2 linked regions of the Rhinolophus ferrumequinum genome follow. The protein of the gene in region 1 purifies or fractionates together with the protein of each later gene. This does not show direct contact. Links are inferred from orthologs where the notes say so. Each region holds a gene or a part of one and is shown in the gene's direction. Other genes may lie near its edges.

The links.
Region 2: the proteins of ACVR2B (region 1) and INHBA purify together in Homo sapiens (affinity purification with western blotting; 3 studies listed by BioGRID and IntAct, with this or other methods). This does not show direct contact. The link is inferred for Rhinolophus ferrumequinum from reciprocal best matches to the Homo sapiens genes ACVR2B and INHBA.

What each region holds. Positions count from the first base shown.
Region 1 is NC_046300.1:14,076,143-14,087,387, reverse strand, and holds the start of ACVR2B (activin receptor type-2B), read left to right. Parts: upstream 1-6,905; 5' UTR 6,906-6,975; coding exon 6,976-7,027; intron 7,028-11,245. UniProt on the Homo sapiens protein: Transmembrane serine/threonine kinase activin type-2 receptor forming an activin receptor complex with activin type-1 serine/threonine kinase receptors (ACVR1, ACVR1B or ACVR1c).
Region 2 is NC_046303.1:55,260,450-55,271,353, reverse strand, and holds the start of INHBA (inhibin beta A chain), read left to right. Parts: upstream 1-5,762; 5' UTR 5,763-5,852; intron 5,853-7,858; exon of another isoform or gene 7,859-7,892; intron 7,893-8,357; 5' UTR 8,358-8,482; coding exon 8,483-8,870; intron 8,871-10,904. UniProt on the Homo sapiens protein: Inhibins/activins are involved in regulating a number of diverse functions such as hypothalamic and pituitary hormone secretion, gonadal hormone secretion, germ cell development and maturation, erythroid differentiation, insulin secretion, nerve cell survival, embryonic axial development or bone growth, depending on their subunit composition.

The sequences.
Region 1 (11,245 bases):
GTCCTTCCGTTAGGAGGCAGTTGTGTCTGGTTTTCTCACTCTTCTTTGATGTTCACGCCTAGCTCCATTTTCACTAGGAATCAAATTTTGTTACCTCTCTTTGTTTATTAGCTGGGATTCTCCTACATGAAAAGCATCCCCTAGCCAGTTATCCAATGGTATTGTTTACATAGCAGAGGCAGAATAGATTCTGTCCTCTTTATTCACCAGTTTTCAAAATAATGAGTTGATTCCCAACCATCCTCTAACAGCAACTAGATTTTTATTTGTAGTATCAGTACGATCCACTTAACGTATTTTATGTGTTTTAACCCATGGCAGTAACTATTCTTATCCTTCTTTTTGATAGCCATTCTCTCCAACTTTTCTCGTGCTTTCCTGATCTCTCTCATTCATTCTTTCTTCACCGATACTTCTGCTCTGTCTACTTAATTATTGCTGGGCCCCGAATCTCTGTCCTCGTTACTCTTGCCTTCCCATTCTGTCTTATCTTGTTGGATGATTTCATCTATTCTTGGGCTTCAACTACTACTTATATACCAGTAACACCAACATCTGTGTTTCTAGCCAGAAATCTCACTGCAATATACCAATCTCCACTTATCTTCCCTTGCCCTTCCACAAACCTCCCCCTCCACAGTCCCTGTTTCAGTGAATTGGCAATATCATCCTCCCATTCGTTCATTCGGGAACCCAAATTCAAAACTCTTTTCCCTCTTTCCCATCAATCCCAAGTGATTTTGGTTATTCCTTTGGTAACTCCTAAAGCAGTTCCTTTCTCTCCATTCCTCCTGTTTTACTTTAGACCCCTTTATTCCTTGCTCAGATTATTGCAAAAGCCTCCGTAGAAAGTCCTCTGTGATCTGCCTCCTGCAAAATCCTCCAGATTTTTCTTCTGCCACAGGCCTTTGCCTTTGTTGGCACTTTAGTTAAACCAAACTGCTTATGGTCTCACCCAGAGTGGAAAATGCTGCAAACGGGTCTGAAACCTGGTGGATCAGAGCCGTGGCCTGTGGGAAGTCAAAAGGAAGGGGTTTCGAAAATGAGTGGGACCAGAGAGATGACATCATCTTGAAAGGGAGTGGTGCCCCTTGCAGGCTTGGCGAGTAAAGGGGAAAAAAGGAAGCAAGAAGCTGATGATGATGGCTTATCAATAGCAAGTCAAAGATTCAGAAGAAAATGGACTGTTCCCCGCCATGGCCACGTAGACGTTCCTTACTAAAGAAATGTTACATTATTGACCAACAGAAAAGGGCTTTTTTGGACCAAGAAGCAGAGAAAGCCACTCGATTCATTCTCCATTTTACCTCTGCCCCCATAGAGTTGCCTGTTATTGCACGCATGCCAACATAAATAGCAAAAGGAATTCACCATTTATACAAGTATAGGAAGAAAACGGAGTGAGAATCATAACTTTTCAAGCTGATGAAATACTCAAAAGGAAAATGGGACAAAGTAAACAACCCTGAAATACGAATTTTAAAATAATTAAAAAACAATTGTGAATATAAAAGAATACCACAGATCAGAAATTCAAAAACTCAGAATAAAAATGAAAAAGCAACAGGCATATGTGAAAAGGAAACTGACCAAACTTGGGAAAGAGTTTGAATAAAAAGATAAAATCATCATAATTATGAAGACTGCATTACAACACATCTAAATTAAAGTAAATATGACTGCAAGTACAGTAAAGCATATAGAAGAAAGGAATGAAAAAAGCTAAGACCGCAAAAACAATATAAAGGAAGAGCTAAAAAGGCCCAGAAAGAAAATGATGGATAAAAAGACAGGCAAAAAAAGATTAACAAGTAAAATCAGAGTTCCTGAAGCCAAAAGATAAGACAGTGGAACAGAGTTAATATTTAAAACTGTACCCCAAGAGAAATTTCTGAAAACTCGAAGACCTGAATCTGTATCTTGAAGGGGCCTATCTTGTTACTTGGAAAATTGTTCCAGAATGATCAACTAAGACATATCCTAGCCTAACTATTACACTTTGAAGGTGAGGAGAAAACTAGGTCAAAAAGACCTAGTCTTTTGCAAAGGAAAAATCAGGTTGGCATCAGACTTCTCAAAAAGCAAGTAGCAGTGGAGCAACATTTTCAAGAAACTTAAAAAATTTGAACTAAGTGTTTAGTATCCAGCTAAGCTGTCCTAAGTATCAAGGAGATCTATCTATCTATCTATCTATCTATCTATCTATCTATCTATCTATCTATCATCTATCTATCTAATGTTTTAATCATGCAATAGCTCAGGAAATAACCCCTTAGGATTCTACAAAGACAAACTTCATCCAAGTAGGAGATGATTGGGGAAACTTCCACAAAAGGACTGGTAGTGAGCATTGAATATCTTTAATTTTAGATCTGAGGTCAAAATGAACGTAGGGATAAGGGTGAAAGAATAGTATCAAATAGTCTATGTTTTAACAAGGTAAAAGCAACACAACTATAAATGAAAAGGGAGAGAGGAAGCGGACAGTACAAAGAGCTCTTTGTTGCCAGAAACAATATGTGCCAATCAAACAGTATCACTTTAGGTTGACAGAACAAATAGTTGAGGCTTAAGGAAAAAGGGAGACAAAGCATTATATAAAGATAACAGTATAGTATAAAGATAGTCACTAGGATAAAAGTAGACATCTCCCTCAATGCCCAAACAGACAATCATAAAGGCACTAGATCACATAGTGAAAAACATGCAGTAAATGTAACATCATACACACAGCAACTGGAAGGACAAGCAGGCGTCAAATTAGTAAATGGAAGGACTCAACTCCTCTATTAAAAACTTTCAGATTGGCTCACAAACCAGTATCTTACTGGCTGTTATTTACAAGAGACACATTTAAAGTAAGTGACCCAGAAAGGCTAAAAAGGAAAGGGATGGGCGACAATATAACAGCAAATACAAATTATGAAAAGCAGATTACAGTATCGATGTTAACAAGGTAGATGGAATTCAGGAAAAGATTAGACACGACAAAGAAGGACACTGATGTTAAAAGCCACAATTCAAAATGAAGACACACTGGTTATGAATGTTACAGCATCAGCCGGTTGGTTTGTCAACTTCAAATGATAGTCTTTGATTCCCACCTAGAGATTCCAACAGAATCAGTATATCTTCTGAATATATATATTGAACTTTGCACTTTTAAGGAATAATAGATAATACACCTTTTATCCTCACAAAGATTGGCCGTTTATTATACTGCAAAGAAAACATCTAAATTTCCACAAGATAGAAATAATACAGTTTTTAATCACAATGCAATAAAATGAGAAATTAATAAAATGTTTTTTAAAAGTCACACCTAGAGAAAGACTTTCTGTGAAACTACTCTTGGGACAAAGGAATATAAACCCAAATTTCAGAGTTTCTAGAGAATGATTGGTAACAAAGTCTAATTAAAACGGTAGGTGAAATATAGTTTTAAAATACTGTACCATTGATAAAAATAAAAGATGAATTTAAAATACTCAAAAAGCAAAAAAAAAAGTGAATAAGAGAAAGGGGAAATAAGTAACGACAATCACACAAGTGAGGAAAACAGGAAAAAATAATAAATGAGTGGTATTTTGATTATTTGAAACAATAAAAATAAACTAGCTAAGAAGTAAGGAGAGGCAAGCAGAAATACACAAAATAAAAATAATAGTGAAAAATTAACATTGGAACAAAATATTAAAGAGTATTTTCTACAATTCTGCAAATAAATGGGAAAACCTAGATGAAATGGTAATGACCTAGGGAAATATAATTTACCAAAATAACTAGTAGAGACAGAAAGTTTAAACAAACTAATTTTCATAAAGGAAACAGAAAAGATTGTCAACTACCCTATAAAAAAGACACTACAGTGTTTCCCCGAAAATGAGACCTAATCGGAAAGTAAGTCCTAGCATGATTTTTCAGGATGCTCGTAATATAAAATAAGTCCTACCATATTTCCCCGAAAATAAGACCGGGTCTTATATTAATTTTTGCTCCAAAAGATGCATTAGGGTTTATTTTATATTACGAGCATCCTGAAAAATAATGCTCATTTTCCGGTTAGGTCTTATTTTGGGGGAAACACGGTAGGTTTCACAGGGGAATTTTACCAAACCTTCATGGACCAATCAATCCCAATGCTATATAATGTATCCCAGAACACTGGAAAAAAAGCACCAGATTATTTTTACAAAGCAAATACAACATCGATCCCTATACGATGTTGCAAAAATGCCCCAATTCTTCACACCTGTATATCTATATTGCCATGGAATTTTGTTGTTCCCTCCCTCTCTGACTTGGCTCAGCTACGCAAGTTTGGCCAATGGGATTTTCACAAATATGGTGTAAGCAAGGACTTGAAAAGCCGTTATGCCATTGAAATTGTTCTCACTTTGCTCTGCCTTTTTCATGAAAAATTTGTGCCTAAGCTAGCCTGACCAAAGCCATCTGGACCATCCACAGGGTAACCGCCCCAGACGTGTGTGAGTCCAGATGAGACCAGAAGAACTGCCCAGTCAAGACCAAACTAAATTACCAGACTGCAGATTCATGAACTAAATAAATATTTATTACTTTAAAGCATGGAGATGTAAAGTGATTTATTACACAGCAATAGATAACATATAGAAATTGTTGCCAAGAATAAAAACGAATATATGTGACATTGAAACTGGGCTGTAGGTGGAGACAGGAAAAATGGTGAGGAAATTATTGGAGGCTGAAAAAATGCAGGCAAACTGAGTACCTGTGGTGACTTGGAAGATAAGTGTACGTACTGAACATTTTGGCTTGAGAAATTCCTAGGCAGAATGTTGAAAATGTCAGCTATTACTCAGAAAAGAACTAGCCAGATTTCAAGTAGAATTTAGAGGGAATATAAAGGTGCTAGAATGAAAAAATAACTTTCTCATCTCCATCCCTTTAAGCGAATAAAAGATTATCAAATTTAAGACATGGCTTTAAGTAAAAATCAAGGGCTGAAAGATACTTTAAGACCTTGGAAAGAATCAAGGCACTGTCTAGTAGACCCAGCTGATTTAAATGACTTCCAGCTATCAAGATTCTTGTCCCATAGCAGCCTGATATAGCTAAAGTATTAGGGATTGAGAGAGAGAGAGAGAGAGCGCTGAAAAATAATTGTGGGTATGGCTTTTGGTGCATAGAGTGGATTCAAATCAGACATAGAAAATTCACAGAACTTTTTAGGAAGCTACAGTAATAAAAGTGACATCAATGTAGTTAGAAAGGGACTAAAGGTAAAACACTGGCAAGGAGGGGCTGTCATTTCAACATAGAATTTTCCAGAACTGGAAGGAACCTTTAAAAACCCAGAAATCTTTCAGGGTAGTGACTCCAAAGTGTGGTCCCGGAAGTGTTCCTGATGCTTTGGGAACCTGGCGATGGTGGAGCCTCATTTCAACTTCAATCAACTTCTATATGGTGGAGTTTTACATAAAATTTTGTTTGAATAAGGTTTCTACTATTTAAAAAATGGAAAGCCCGGGAGTCCAACCTCTTCACTTTCTGTGTAAGGAATTTGAGACTTAGAGAAGTGAAATAACTCAGACTTCCAGCACCTCCTGGCTGCTCCTGCGCTAACAAAGTCTGTGGCAAGTCAGGAGAAGAGGGAGGACAATTTCTGTATCCAAGGATCTTGCATCCCATCCCTGAGCTGTGACGGGCTTTTCCTCTTTACCTGGGAGCCCCATCATGACCCTCCCAAACTGTGGTTGTGTCATAAAGAAGGTGGAATCTGAGATGGAGAACAACCACCCCAAGAAGGAATCTGGGGTGAAGAGGGATAGCGAAGCCATTCTCTAGACAAGATCTTCAACTGCGGGGACTGGCGGCAATTGCGAACAATTTTGAAGGTGCAGATTGAAGAGGGTGGGGGAGTGCAGAGGCCCAAATGGAGTAGTGGCGGGGAAGCAAGTTGCCAAGGCCCTTTGGCATCGGCTGCTGCTCTGCGAGGCGGGGCTCGGCGCCCTCCCTCTCTGGGATGGTTCCGACTTCAGGATCTCCAGCTGTGCCTTTGTGTGTGTGGGGTGTGGGGTTATAGACGTGCGGGGCCAGTTGTCATTTCAGAGAAGTCAGCCTTTTCCTGCCGATACAGACATGACTCTCCTATGGTTCACTATGACCCCCACTTCACAGGTGGGCGCGAAGAGGAATCCAGGCCAGAGTCCTAGGGCTGTTCACCTACTTTGGGGTCGCAGGGCAGCGTTCGGGAACGTGGGCTCCAGCGCGCAGAGCATGAATCCACAGTGCCGAGGGTACAGGTCCCGGAGTCCGGGACAAAATGGTCCAGGGCCCAACCCCGCCACCTCTGCAAGCGCGCCCTGACTGGCCCTCCAGTCTCTAGGATTCCTCGCGTCCTCAAGGAGGGCGCGGGCTGGGGGCGGGGCCTCTTTGTTGTTGTTTCTCTGGAGCCCCGCCCCTGAGGGGGGCGCGGACCACGCGGCCAGAGGGCCCGCCTCCCCTCCCCCTCCCCGCCCAGCTCGCCCGCCTCTTTGTATCCAACATCCGGGTTTCCCCGCTGGCTCGGCTCCGCGGCCGCGGCTCAGGAGCCATTTTGGACTCGGTTCAGCTCCCCTCCCCCCACCCCTCCCCCCGTTCATGGCCCCTCCGGACTCGGCCCCTGCGCCGGGGGCCCGGGCCCAGCCCCACCGCGCTATGCCTGAATCGGGCGCGCCCCGGCCCGCGCCCCACCGCCGCCCCCCGGTCCCCGCGTCGTCCCGGAGCCCGGGCCGCAGCCTGCGCTGCCCGCAACAGCCCTGAACCCGGTCTCGCCGCCCGGCCCTTGGAGCCAGCACGCTGCCCGGGGACGAAGGCGCAGAAAGTGCGCTGGGAACGAGACCTAAGGAAGGAGCGAGAAGGAGAGCGCAGCCGCCGCCGGGCCCTGCGCGCCCCAGGAGCGCCGCGCGGCCCTGCCCGCGGGCTCCGGGTGTCCGCGGGGCGGCGCCGCGGAACATGACGGCGCCCTGGGCGGCCCTCGCCCTCCTTTGGGGATCGCTGTGCGCGGGTAAGGACTGGGCGCGGCGTGGGGGGCGCGGGGAGGGCGCGCGGGGCCAGCCTCGGGCGACGCGTGGTGTTTACCAACAAAGGGAGGGCCCCTGCGGCCTCCTCGCCGCGCCACCTGCACCCAGCTGGCACCTCCCGGGGCGGGGACTGGGGGCGCGCCGGGCGCCCCGCTCGCTGATCTTGGTGGGGGGAATCTTGTTTGTGCGGCGGTCTGCAGGGCTCCGGTTCGCGGTGGCGACCCCATGATGGGGGCCGAGACCCAGGGTCGGGGTTCGGGCTCCACGGGAGCGTGGAACCCAGGGAGAATGAGAGGAAAACCAGAGCGTAGGGAAGGTAGCCAAGCGGGGCGGGCAGATCTAATCCCAGGATGTCGGGTTTGTAGGTGCAGCAGCAGCGGCTAGGGGGAGGGCTGCGCGACCCTCAGTGCCACTAGGTGTAGCGAAACGAGGGGCTTGCTTCTCGGAGGGGTCCCCTGCATCCCATTCCACTAGGGTCTGTGTCGTATTGCAAGGCGGGATGCTGGCACCCGCTCCCACCTGCGCCCGCTTTCCCTGCGATGGGGCCAGGGCGCGAGGTGCAGCCACTCCGCGGGACCGCTTTGTTTTGGGCGCCTGGGCTGGGAGGTGGGGCGAGAAGAAAAACCAACAGGTCTCTGTTCGCTCTGGCCTCTGGGAAGCACGTGGGGTGGGTGGGTGGCTCGCGGGGCTAGCGTTCGGCTCGCGCTGGTGTGGTTGAGGGTGTGTGGGTGCGGGTGTATACTTGAAGTGTTCTGCCAGGAAGGTGCTTTTTCCTTTAGGTCGAAGCACCGATTTCTCTCTTCTAGCGGTGCTGAGGCGCGCCCAAATCGGGTGTGCGCGCAGGAACGGGCTCGGCGCTCCGGTTAGGATGGCTTCAGGCAGCCCTGGGAAGCGTGCAGAGTCGCGCTTTGAAGCTGCAGGGAAAGTCTGGGGCGGTCTGGGCCGCTGGTGCGCGGCAGCCGGAGCGCTGCGTCTTGCGCGTCTTTGTTCCCAGCCCCCATTACACATGCAGCGCGGGTCCCTAGCTGCCCGAGGTGGCAGCAGCGCGGAGTCTGGGAAACCCGCGAAGGGCGGGGCCGGGCGTGCAGGGGCGGGGCTGGGATCCCCGCGCTGCCGGGAGGGTAGGGATCCGGGATCTCCATCCCACTCCCACCCCCGACTCTGTCCGCTTCATTTGCAATGTAGTTTGGTTCAGCTGTCTACATCAAAGCAAGTGAATTCTCTGTGTGGGGCTTGTTGTTGCCTAACCTGCATGCAAGGACCAGAGGATAGAGACCTTGTTGGTATCTGGGGGAGGGCGTCATGGCTCTTTTGGAACCGTTAACTGTGTGGTAGAGGCGGCGTGGTGGTGTTGACCTTGTTCTCCTTTTTGCCCCTAGTCCCTTTTAAGTGCTGCTTTGAGATGCTTTTTCCCAAAGAAAGGATGGCATTGGCCTGTAGAGGGGAGAGTGGCAGCAAGCTGACTTAATAGGCACGCACAGTTCACCTGGCTGTCTCTAGAACCGTCCTGGACATTCCTGGGCTCCCGAAACCCTCTCCTGATTTGTCTCACTATCCTCACCGGACTCACTTGCCTCTTCGATTAGGCAGGGCGGGATGGATTCCCCCCTCCCCCAAGCGCTGTATTTCCCTCCTTTTCCCTTTGCTCCTCCCTCCTGGCTTGGGCAGTACCCTGCAAGGTGGGGCAGCTGGAGTTAGATTGAAGTCGACCAACCTGTGTTCCTACCTTGGGAGAAAGGTGAGGGGCATGGTGTTTCTTGTGGTCACACCAACCAGTCCTTTGGTGGGCCACTGCTCTGACCTGTGAGGAACCGTGGGAAGAGCTGGCCCAGGCGCAAGTGGGGACAGAGCTGGCCCTCCTGTTCCTTTGACTTCATGGATGCCCTTTTTGTCAAGCTCCTGGCTTGCTGTTAGAATTACTCCCACTCCCTGTGGCATACCGTGTCCTTGTAGAAGGAAGATCTTTCAGAACAGCTCTGTCCACCAGAAATACAGTGTGAACAACACACGTAAGTTAAAATTTTCTGGTAGTCATGTGAATAAAAAGAAAAAGAAAGGAACAGGTGTGTCTTAGTCTTCTCAGTCTGCTGTAACAATACCATAGACTGGGTGACTTAAATAGCACTATTTTCTCACAGTTCTGGCGGGTGGAAGTCCAAACTCAGCCCCAGCCTGGTAGGGCCCTCTTTCTGGTTGGCAGATGGCTGCCTTCTCAGTGGGTCCTCACGTGGCTTTTCGTTGGCACTCACTGGGGGAGAGATTGTTCCTTTTCCATTCACCCCATCATGAGGGCCCCACCCTCATGACCCAATCTAACCCGTATTACCTCCCAAAGGCCCCATTTCCAAATATTGGGTGTTAGGGCTTCAACATATCAGTGTGGGGGTAGCAAACATTCAATCCGTAACACGGTGAAATTTAATGATGTGTTTACTTAGCCTGAAATATGCAAAATAATCATTTCAACATTCATCAATATTAAAACGAGGCATTTTACATTCTTTTTTATACTGTTTCAAAATCCAGTGTGTATTTTATAGTTAGAGAACATGTGAACTCACACTTTCCACATTTTAAGTGCTCAACAGTCACATGTGGCTCATGGCTACCATATTGGATGGCACAGACCTAGAAGAAACGGCAGAATTTCTGTTGTGATAATGGTACATGTTCAATTACTGCCACAAGTCCTTTGTGTTTTGTGCCTGTACCCGTGTCCTTGGGAAACAAGTTGTTTGGAGCTTGCATTGCTGGTTTGGATCTTGCATGTGGTCATCCCAGACACACATCTGTGTATCCCACAGAGCTGCTGATCTCTGTCTCTGTACTGGACTTGGGGTTCAGATCAGGGCGCGTGGGGGCAGGGAGTTCTTTGTGGAAGGTCAGGAGCTACTAGCTGGGCAGGAGGACCTAATTCTAGTCTGTCCTCTCAGGAAACGCAGGCCTTGACTGCTCCAGCCTGCCCTCAGAGGCTGGTTACTCTGACCCAGAGTTGTCTGTTTCCTCAGGGGAGAAGTGTATGTTTGTGGGTGAAGTGATGCCCAGGCCCAGTAGTGGTAACTGTCAAGGACATGGACCGCAGAGCCACGGCCATTGTATCTGCTGGGCACCCCCGCTCTGCCCTGCCTGGCTGGCTGGGCTGTGCTTTGGGAGGAGTGATCCCCTTCCTCAGCTCTTGGAGGCTCTTCCAAGATACATGATGTGAGAAACTTGCCCATCCCCCAGGCCTTGGAAACGTAAGACCCAGAACCCCATGGCCTCCCACAGCTTGGTGGGCCTCTGTGGGGTCTTTCTGGGCCTGGAGGATCCCCGTTAGGACCTGGACTTCCCCTAGCACTTCACCCAAGGAACTTGCTTTGTAGGGACCAGTGGAGAGCCCCCGTCCTACACCATGATTCTTTGTATCATGTGCTCCTCTGAGAGTCTGATGAAAGACGTGGACCCTTTCCTCAAGAAAATACAGATAAGTGTGTGTGTGTGTGTGTGTGTGTGTGTGTGCAAGTGTATGCACAGGTTATCCATGCACACGCACTGATCTGCACTGATACCAAGAACCTGTGGTCCCCTGGGTTGGACTCTGAAGTCCTGGTAGCCTGCACGGACCCATTGTACCAGTCCTGAGGGGCAGCTGGCTGTCCTTGGGGCACCCTGGGTTTGTTCCCTTCTTGCTGCTTCAGCTTAACCTATTCTAGTCACTGTACGTGACTTCTTTACTTCTGCTTTTTGTGATGCCGCCCAGTGTTCAGATTCCAGCCCTGGTCCCCTCCTCCCCTTCCTTCTCCCCCTCCTCTGAATGCCAGTGCATTCAGCTCCCAGCCTGGGAGCTCAGGGTAGTACAAGTGGGGACAAAGGGACATGAGGTCAGAGTTTAAATCCACCTGCAGTTACTGGCCTGTTACCGTAGACTGTGATCTGGGGGCTGGGGGGGTGCTGGTCTGGGTGATACTTTTGAGAATGACACTGGATACGCAGCCCTCTGGCAGGGTCCTGGCTGGGTGAGCCTCATTCTAGAACACGGTTTCTCAGTCTTGACACTGCTGACAGTTTGGACCTAATGATTCTTTGTTGTGTGGGTGGGGGTGGGGGTGGGGGGGGCTGCGAGCAGAGCCGTCCTGGGCACTGTAGGATGTTTAGCAGCATCCCTGGCCTCTACCCGCAAGATGCCAGTAGCACTTCTAATCGTGAAAACTGAAAATGTTTCC
Region 2 (10,904 bases), on another chromosome or scaffold:
ACACACACACACACACAAACCCAGGCCTGCCCCCAGCCTATTCCGTCTTCCCCTCTAAAGCTATAATTTGGGAACAGGTTGTGAGATACCTTTGTGGACAGGCGAAACTGGATTCCTGTTCTCTTATCTAAGCCCAGTGGAATCTAGATGCTAAACCTATATGTCCTTAAGTCAGCAACATGGAACTTATTACCCGAGGGGATCCAGGTGAGAAAAACTATTGCAACAGCTGTTATATGTTCTTTTGTGAGTACTTCTCATAATCTTCTGGGCAACAGGAAGATCAACTGCTGTGGCAGATGTTTCCTGATTAGATCAGAACTGAGCTATGATAATCAACTTCAAAATATACGTTGGCCAGGAAGGACTTTGGGGGTGTAGTTATTCATTTGAGTTAGTGTTACTGTTGTTTTTTTCAGTATATGTTTTTCTATAGAGGTTATAAATGATGATTTCTCTCTATGTACTGAGTTTTTCACAAGTACTAACTAGTTACTTCTTGGGAGGAAATCCAGGCACTTCTGAATCATTTGGTAGTTGATCAGGTCTTTGGTTCCAAACTGACCATTTACCTGAGGAGACTGATTCACATGCTACAGTCGATGAGACGGCGTCAGAGTGTCTAAGACATTCCCCTCATGGCTCCCTTCATCTTACAACAGGCTCTGACCGACTCTCTCCTTCTGGATGATCCAGGTCACTGAGAGTAAGTGATGACTCAGGGGAGTTGGTCTCAGCATGCAGGGGATGGCACGTCACACCTAAGCTAGTGATCCAGGCAAATTCTCTTTTGTGTGCTTCACCAACATTTGTTGATTATTATTGTTTTCCATGATGTGGGGTCCTTCATAATAGTTTCTCTAGGACTCACAGGAGAGCAACATCTGAAGAAGCATGGTCTTCTTTCAACAGTCATACCACTTCCTTTTAAAGAGAAAGTTTGGAGAATATAATCTTGCTTGGAAAATGCATTAGGATTTAGCAAAGCGCTCTGTTTTATCTCTTTGGATATTGATTGTGTGTCATTCCCCTAACATATTAAACAAATAAAATCAAGCTACATCATATTCACTTGCTCTGGGAGAAAGGCATGGTAATCTCACTTTTTGTGAATTTTACTTTGGGGAATTCTCTATTGCATAGATTTATCAGATACTGAATTGCTAAAGTGAATAACTCAATTCCTCATTCGCTTACTCTTCTCCATGAGTCTGTTGCCTCCTGACAACTCGGGTGTGGGCCAGCTCATCTCATTTTGTTGTTGATCACCAAGATTCTGCATTTGGTTAGAACACAAAGCCAGCAGGAAACCTACTGAAGCCACACTGGAAAGTTGGTTGGGACAACAGCAACGTTGCCGAAGAGGTGCTCTTACTGTGTCCGTTTTGCTGATGGTGTGGGCCTCCATTAATCAGGAAGCACAAGACACATGCGGAGGAAGAATCATTAGGATTATGAATATTTTGCATAGTTGTCAAGGCCTCTTAGGACCTTCATGGGAAGGGAATTAGATAAAACTTAAATGTATAACTCTAAATCAGGGTTTCTCAACTGTGGAACAAGCAACATTTTCTCTGTTGTGTGCGCAGTCCTGTGCATTGTAGGATGTGTAGCAGCATCCCTGGCCTCTACCCACTGGATGCCACTAGCGCCAACCCCCACCCCATCCTGTTTTGCCAGGCCAATAGGTCTTCAGACATTGCTGAATGTCTCCTGGGAAGCAAAATCACCCCTGTTGAGAAACACTGCTCTAGAGTGAAGGATAACAGTTTACTTACTTTTTTTATTCTTTCCCTAATCATGTTAGTTCTAGCCTCTGGGTTCCTTCTGTTCAGAAAAGGCAATTCCAAATATTCTGAACACACAGCACACATACATAGCACAAGGCCTTGTGGGCTATGCAGAGAAATGTAGGATTCTCAAAGAAATGGTGGCTTAGGAAGACAGTTTGGATGAACTATTTCTGACTCTTAGTTTCTAATGAATTCTGGAAGAATTTTAATCTCTCTCTCTCTCTCTCTCTCTCTCTCTCTCCTCTCTCTCTCTCTCTCTCTTCATTTATTGATTTAACTTAAAAGCGAACAGCTTCTCAGTTCAATTTTGAACATGACATGCTGGTCCTTCTTCGTCCCAAATCTCTCTACCTAATGTTCAGCCCAGGTGATGGGCAAGCTCTGGCTGTCCAGGGAACAGGCAGGATTTGCCAATCCCTTAGCAGCCTACACCATCTGAGGAGGTTCCTGAAATCTCACTGCAGCAGATATCACTCTGATCCTGCCCAGATTTTCTGGATTCTGAGCTGCCTCCCAAAGGAGTCACCGCCCCTCAACTCCGCAAGGTTTTCCTGCCTTGAGCCCAGAATAACATGTCAGCTGTTGTGAACACCTCGAGTCCTTTTGATTTCTCTCCATAGTCACGTTTTATGTTCAGTTTCCCAGACAGGATGAACCAGAAATCATGCTTTTTTGGAAACAGATTTTTCATAAGAAGGAACTCAAACACCCTGAGTTGTCAGCAGGCTAGTCCGTGCTCTGAACACCCAGACTCGTGCCATTTCAGCTGAATCAGAGGACAATTTCCCAGTCACTTGCTAGGGTTTTTCACGTCTCCTGGCGTGTATTTTTCAGTGAATAACAGCAATGCATGAGCTGCAGCTAAAATAACAGAGCCATGAAAACAACCTCCTTTTCTAGGGCTGTCTCCTTGTTCCAGGAGTAGTGAGCAAAGAGACCAAATTAATAGCATGGATGGAAGCTGAAGGACATACGGTTTGCTTGAGAAGAAAAATGAACATTCTCACTTCTTGCTCCATGCCAACTTCATAGGGGGACAGCTACTGCCATAGGTAAACACCACTATAGGTTAGACATGCCCGAAGGTGTGTGTCACCGCTGGCCACAGGGAGGCACAGGGACGCTGGTCTCTCCCCTGGTTGCACCATTGAGCTCTTATCCTTAAATGAACTTTGTTTTTGACCAGCTCACTAACTGTGATTGAAAACACCAGCTCTGCAGCAAGGCACAAGCCCTGGAGTTAGCAGCAGTAAGGCAGGCCCTAATTGTGCCATTTACATAAAAGTAGAAACATACAACTTCTAAATATACATCTCTGGCACATCGTGCCTTTTGCAATTACAGTAAAATAAGGTACCACACAGTTTCCTTCCCTGCTTCTTGTAGCAGCAAGCTGCTTTGCCGGGTTCTCCAGGGGCAGCTCCTCTAGGCGAGAGCAGAGCCCTGCAAATGCTCCGGCGAGAAGCTGGTAGCTTTGAGAAGTGGCGGGTCAATCCCTCCGCCCGCACTAGGCGGAAAACCGGCTGGCAGCAGGCCGCTGTGCTAGCGCAGGAGCCGGTAGGACTCAATGCCCCCCGCGGGAAGGGGACGGCTCCTGCGGCGTCAACGCCCCCGGCGGGTCTCAGTCCGCCCCGCAGCCGGCCCGCAGGTCCCCAGCGGGTCCCTGAGACTGGCTGCGCTCTCGGCCCTGGCACCGAGGGCTGTTTCAGAGATTCCCAGCTACACTTACAGAACAGTGATTTCCAACCCCCCTCCCCACCCCACCCCCCCGAATTCTTTAGCTGCCAAAGGGGGAAAGAATAAAAAGCTGCTCTGGAAACAGTTGCCCTTGCTGGTGCTCGGGGTAAAAATAGAGGCGGCCGCTGTGCAGGGCCTGGCGGTCGCGTTCTGGCGTGATCCCTGCGAGCTGCCAGCAGGTGCTGCTCAAGGTACGGTGGCAGCAGAGCAGCCGGGCGCAGGGCCGGGGTGGGAGCTGCTGGGGGAGGGGCAGGAAGTGAAAGAGAAACCGACCGAAGGAGGAACGGGAGATGCTGGTCGGGAGCTGGGCTAGCCTGCTCACCCCCTGGGCTCTGAAGTTGGGAAGGGAAAAGAGCACTCCCAGTCCAGAATATTCGACTGAAGTTATTTTGACCTTCCTGCTTCCTCTACCACCCCCACCTTAATTTCCACTGAGTGAGGAGGCATTTCCAGTGTGTCTCAGCTCTGAGCTTGGGGATTCAGGTAGAGAACTACATCGCAGCTGGTGGGCTGACCTGGCAGGTGGGCATCTGATGGCACAGCCAGTCTGAGTCGCACATTTAGGGTGGCTTCTCTAGTCCGGGAGCTGTAGAATCCTGTGACATAAATGTTTAGATAGTCATCTCAGAAATGGATCCCACTTTATAGATGAGAACACCGAGGCTGACGTTACATGGTTAGTAAGCAGTGGGACCCAGATCTCCATCCTGGTTGGTTGTGTGCCCCAAACTCATACATCCAGTGGCATTTCTGGGACACTAGGGTTCATGCATGGGGGAGGAGATGAGATGAGATGCCCTGCAGGCCATTGCTCTCCGTGGGGGCTCATCAATGGGGGGGGGGGAATTCCTTTCTTACAAAGAGGCTGAGTCCACCCAATTCTAAACGGATGGTCAGGTATGCAGTTAACCAACGCTGATCCTATTTCTGTCTTTCCCTCTCAGATTCCTTCTGTTCCTCTACAACCTAATGATTTAATTTCCTACTTCATTTCTGCATATACAGTTCTTAGAAGGCTCCCCAACCCCATATACTGTTAGGCATCCACACTTTCTCTGTGTTTAGCCAAGGCAAACCCTCTTACACAGAAAACTTTTGGTGTCCTAAAGGAACCTGCCTAAACTACACATCAGGAGGCCAGAGGCTCCATATTTTGCTTGTGGGCACAGTGAAAAGTTTATTTTATGCATGTTAAATCCTGCATACAAAACAACATATCTGGTCATATGGCTTTCATTAGGTCCAAACAATTTTGCACGTTTTATTCAACTTGTGGTGAGGACCCAGCTTATGCTGTAGGTATACTCCTCCAAACTAAGCTTCACCATCCTTGTCTGAAGACTCCTTCCTCCTGTGTTATTTCCCAGACTTGCTAATACCCCTCCAGCCCAGCCAAGAAGACCCTGACCAATTTAACCCCTATTTGAAGGAATGTTCACTTCTTTTCATTAATCTCATGTTATTTAGAAATTGTAACAATTTAGAAATCATAGGACTTGTAATTCTGATAAAGAACGATGTATGAGAGGTTTTGTTTGTTTGTTTTTTGCTTCTTTTTTTCCTAGTTAGATTGGGATTCTAAAGAACTGGGAAGGATACTTATAAGGTTCACTTGAACAGAATGACTATTTCCAAAGTTCTTGGTGATAAATGATTTATGAAGCAGGCATTCAATTTCAAGATGTAAAATAATAGTGTAACTCAGGGGAGGAGAGATCATCATCATATAGATATACATATTTTCCTATTTTTTTCTCAATGAAATATCTTATTTTTAAAAGTATAATTAGAATCCCTATAAAGAGCACTGTGAATTTTCTTGCCTGTAAGAAACAATAAAATACTTTGTAAATAGAGGCAACTTCGTGAAGTAACAGATGTTTTATGTGAAGAATAAAACTGAACCTGAATATAATGAGAAGTGTGTGTGCAAATAGTAAAAGAAAAGTTGGAAATTGGACACTCAATGAGATATAGCTGTTCAATTCCAGTTTTTTCTAAAAGCAGTCTAGTCAATTAGAGGTTTAACTGGCTCAGTGATCACCCAGTAGTGTCACAGCAGCTAAGAATGGCTTTCCATTAGATAATGATTATGAAATATGTCTCACACTGGAAAAACCAGTCATCTGCTGATGTCATGCTGATTCTAACCAATCCTAAACAAAGCCCCAGCCCTCCTCTGTTTGAGTGGTACCAACGCATGAGTGTACAAGTAAGTAGTACAGTATAAAACTTCACAGTGCCAGTACCATGAAGAGGAACTCGGACAGCTCTGACCACATGATACAAGAAGCTGCTGGTGAAAGAGAGAGCAACGGGAAGGTAATGCTTTTAATTCTTACTGTGAGCTATTTACACATTCATGGTCAGAATGGTTAGGAGACATTTGCAACTTACTGGCACTTTCCTGTACTGTGTGATTTGTACCTTTTAATATTATTCAGGCAAGTTAATACAGCTTTTAACAGTAGAGCATGCAAATAGATTATGTGTTTATGCAACCCATTCAGCATATAGATACAAGTACATATGCTAAAGAGAAAGCTGTTTGTTTTTTTTTTCCAGTTACATTCACAAACAGTAAATTTAGGGAACACACAAACAGGAAATTTAGGGAATACACACATAAATTTAGGGAACATAGAATCCACATACTGATAAGTTGCACTTATCTAAATGCTACTATTAGGACCCTTGAGTTGTTTGGAGTCATTAAACTTTTAGTTCTATTTCAGACTCTCTTGTAAAACTTAATTGGACTACAAAATGCTTTGGATACTGTATATGTGATGCCAAATAGCTAGATTATGTTAAGTATTATATTTCAAAGACAATCTATTGAACAATTATAACGCCCCCCTTCCCCATTCTCTTTCACCATCCCCCACTAAAAAAAACGAGACTTTTTAGGGAACGTTGACAAAGTCTTAACAATAATAGCAGAGTAAATGATATTCCTGGAGGTGAAACCCTAAAGGTGATAGATGGCTTGTAACACAGGAAGTCTTGCAAGTAGTTGTTTTGGGAAAGGGGGACAATGTATCCAATTCAGAAAAGCATTGTTACCTGTGCAAACTATAATTTTAATTTAGTGTCACAGTTTTCTCACTCTCCTCCCCTGCACTCACATCTTGTGCTTGTAGTAATGACGTTTATTAACTCCCCCCCCCCCCCCCCCCCCCAACTGTATTGCTTGACTATAATGCTCTGAACACACTAGGTGTCAGATATAAGCTGACTATATCTACAGAAACTGAGAGGGCTTATGTGTGGGAAAGAAACCCAGAGGGAAGGAAAGCTTTAACAGATGGACCTCTTAAAGATACTTCTGCAAGATAAAAGCAATAAGACAAAATGAAAAAGGGGGCTGGGGGGGGATGGAGGAGAATTAAAAAAAACCTCAGGCATTGTTTAAAAATTCACATTTTTCTTTTTCTGTGAACACTGAAATCCACGATGATTTCATCTGTGCTGTTCTTTGAAGGAAGCCATCAAGGGATCAGTCCTTGAGCACAGTGGTCCAGAATGGGGTAGGGGTAGGCTGAAAAAACTACCCACATGACAGAGAAAACAATTTGCCAATATATTTTAGAGATTATTTTCCCATAGGACCAGTTATTCAAGTCATAGGAGCACACTGTGTAAAATAATGTGGGAAAGGGCACGTGAATTTTGCATTTTATCTGTGAAGTCGGGGCAAGTGGTGGCTGGCTGTAATTCGTCAGTGTGAGTGTGTATGTGCAGGGCAGGAGGTGGTAGTGACTTAGGGAGAGGGGAAAGGCTTCCTGTGTCCTGAGCCTGTAAAATGCTGCCTGCCTGCCTGTGGATCTTTCAATGCCCAGTGGCATTTTGCAGTTGGGAAAAGTAGAGTGTATTATGTGACCCCAAACAAAAGTTCTATTGCACTCCCCTCAGATCGCCTGCCAGTGTAGACGGCCCTGGACATTTAAATATGAATGAATGGGGAAACGGAAGACCTGCAGGATTCCCTCAGGTCAGAACAATTGACTGGCCCCTGCAGCACTGTTGGCCTCTAGTCCCTCTTTCCGACCTTCCCTACCTGTCCCCAGACCTCTGGGACCCTGAGCCCCACCTTACCAGCCTGTGGGCTCTGAGTCCCGTAGGGCTGTAGCTGGAGGGGTTGGTGGGGTGGTGGGGGCAGACTCTTTCAATCAAGTCATCCCTGAGGATTGAGACAGTGTATTTACTTGGGGTTTTTCTTTCCCCTCCAAAAGAGGAAGAAGGTGAAGCAAGGGGACTGGGAAAAGAAAAAAAAAAAAAAAAAGGAAGTAGAACAAAATTAGGAGGATTTCTTTCAGAAGGGAAAGTAGCACTCCCGAGAATGGTGATATTTGAAGAGAGGTGTGTGAGAGGGAGCAGTGAGCAGAAGGAAAGCAGCCTGTCAGAAAACGGGCTGTCCCTCCCCTTCCTAATGACAGCCTTTACTCACAAACTCCCTCCCTCTCCCATTCACTCACTCACTTAGGGCCAATCGTTCTCTCTCTCTCCCTCTCTCCCTTTCTTTCTCCCTCTCTCCCTCCCTCTCTCCCTCTCCCCCCCTTCTCTCCCTCTCTCTTCTGTCCCCCTCTCTCCTCTCTCCCTGTCTCTCTCCCTCCCATCCTCTCTCTGTCTCTGTCTCCCCCCCACCCTGTCTTTCCCTCCCTCCCTCCCTCTCTCCCTCCCTCTCTCCCTCCCTCCCTCCTTCTCTCTTACTCCGAGACAGTCAGAACTCTCCTCCCTGACAGCCACAAACCTACAGCACTGACTGCATTCAGAGAGGGAACCTGCAAAGAAAACTTCACAGAAAACTTTTTGTTCTCGTTCCAGAGAATTTGCTGAAGAGGAGAAGGAAAAAACCAAACCAAAACAAACCAAACAAAAAACCTGTGCGTAAGGGGAGGGGGGAAAGCAGGGCCTTCAAAAAGGCAACCACAACAACTTTTGCTGCCAGGATGCCCTTGCTTTGGCTGCGAGGATTTTTGTTGGCGAGTTGCTGGATTATAGTGAGGAGTTCCCCCACCCCGGGATCCGAGGGGCACAGTGGGGAACTCGCCTGCCCGTCCTGTGCGCTGACCACCCTCCCCAAGGATGTACCCAACGCTCAGCCGGAGATGGTGGAGGCCGTCAAAAAGCACATTTTAAACATGCTGCACTTGAAGAAGAGACCCGAGGTCACGCAGCCGGTGCCCAAGGCGGCGCTTCTGAACGCTATCAGAAAGCTCCATGTGGGCAAAGTGGGGGAAAACGGGTACGTGGAGATAGAGGATGACATCGGAAGGAGGGCAGAAATGAATGAACTGATGGAGCAGACCTCGGAGATCATCACGTTCGCCGAATCAGGTGGGTGCGGGCACGGGGGGTGGGGATGTGTTTCTCTGACAGTCCTCGGAGCAACTTCTTTCCCTTCAGCTCTAAACTGCCTGGGAGGGTCAGCAGTTATTAGGTGACGGTGGCGGGCGGGCGGAGGGGAGGCCGGGGAGCGGGAGAGGACTGAGAAAGGGACTTGTGGTTGAGCCCTAGCTGGAGGTGGCTAGCTTCCACTTGCTGAACTCCGCGGGTCATCCGGAGGAAGCTCTAGGGCCAGTCTGGAGCTGAAAGCCGTTCTGTGAGAGAGTCTCCCTCGCCCTGCCTGTGAGACCTGGTCTGAGCAGCCTGATGAAAGGCGGGGCATGTTCGGGTGCAAGGGGAGCTGGGGGAGGCCAGGGAGGCTTCCGGACCCCATCCCAAGTTTATTGGGGGCGGGGGTGGGGGCGGGGTGGAATGGCACAGAGGCAGTCATTGTCTTAAACAAACCTTCCGTTTAAAAGTCCATTCAGGGGCCACATCAGAGAAGCAGGGCACATTTATTAGTGACTGTCATTTTTACCTTTAGAAAGGCGAAGAGCACAGGCATCTCATTCTGGGCAGTAAAAAGCGACTTTGGGGGACAGCTGACATTGAACCAGCAGTCACTTTTGGAACACTGACTTTTGCTCTCTGAACCGAGGAAAAAAAAAAAAAGAGTTTTGTTCTCTGTAAAGTTACTAAGAGCTCTCTGCCAAGGAATGCAACCTTGACAAAGTGCTCTCAGATACTACACTGAACTCTCACTCAATCCTAAGAGGAAGAACTTTAATAAATAGATTCTAATCGTTGGCTCAGGACCACACTAACCTGTTGCTGAATAGAAAATACCTGTCAAAAGTGGAGGCGGAGACCTGGGACCAGGTTATTTTTACAGTTATGTGACACAGATCCTTTTGCATCTCTACAAGCCCATGCACGCCCAGGCACACAGATGTGTTAATACCGTGTTACTTTCATGGTAATGCCAGGCTAAGGAATCATATCACTTGCCAGGTCGATTTGAAAGGAGTGCCATTGTTTTGTTTGGTAGAGAATATGGCCAGTAAAGTATGTGCAGGGGCTCCCAGCATTTCTGTTTAGAAGTTTTCTGCGGCAGCAGTACAAACAATAAAGGCAATACTCAGAATTTCCAATCCTGAAAACCTGTTGACTCAGATGTTCTGTTTTCAAGAGGACCTTCCAAGACATGGGCATCCTTTTGGGGGAGCAGCTAGCCTGCTGGCTTCCTGGCTTCTCCCTGCAGGAGAAGGCCTGGGGTCCTGCAAGCTTCCTGGAAGGACAGTTTAGCTATGTCACTAGCAGGTTCTTCCTTTTAAAGAAGTTCTTAACTTTCTTTCCCTAACACTCTTTCTTGATACACCTCAAAGGACATGATAATTATAACTTTATCTTTTGAAGCTTTTTAAGGAAAAAAGTCAGGAGTTTTCAAGTTGCCTCCCAATTTTTCTCAACCTTTGCTGATGGCAAGGTGGGAAAGATAGTGCCTGATGACATTGGGTCCTGCACAGACAATGGATAGAAGTCGTGGAGAGGCCTGCTCTCTGTCCTGACACAAAGGGGACCCTCTACATATTTTTATAGGCCAGGTGCCACACATGATAGCTTTCATTGCAGCTCCTCAATTGGCTCTACCACAGCGTATGACTAAGTACACCTATCTGTGCCTTTGACCACCTTTAATATACATTGCCCCTAGCAATATGCCCGCTTGCCACTTAATCTGTCTTGTATAGCAAACTACTCTCTTGGCATGGGAGATTCTGCAGGAAAGAATTGGACCTTTTCCATTTTTCTTACTCAGTGCCTGCATCTCAGTGCCAGTCTTTTTCTCAATTATATGAAATCTTGTCATTTGTTAAAACTTTTCTGTTAGGTGTTTACCTTGAAAGATATTGAGCTACTTTTTTAAAAGGTGATTCATTTGACTCACATGTTGACTAAAGTTGAAGGTTTATAATGGAAAGCTCCTTGTGGTTGAGTTTACAACTTGACTTTGGATGAGCTGCTGGATTCTTACAAAAGGGTTAT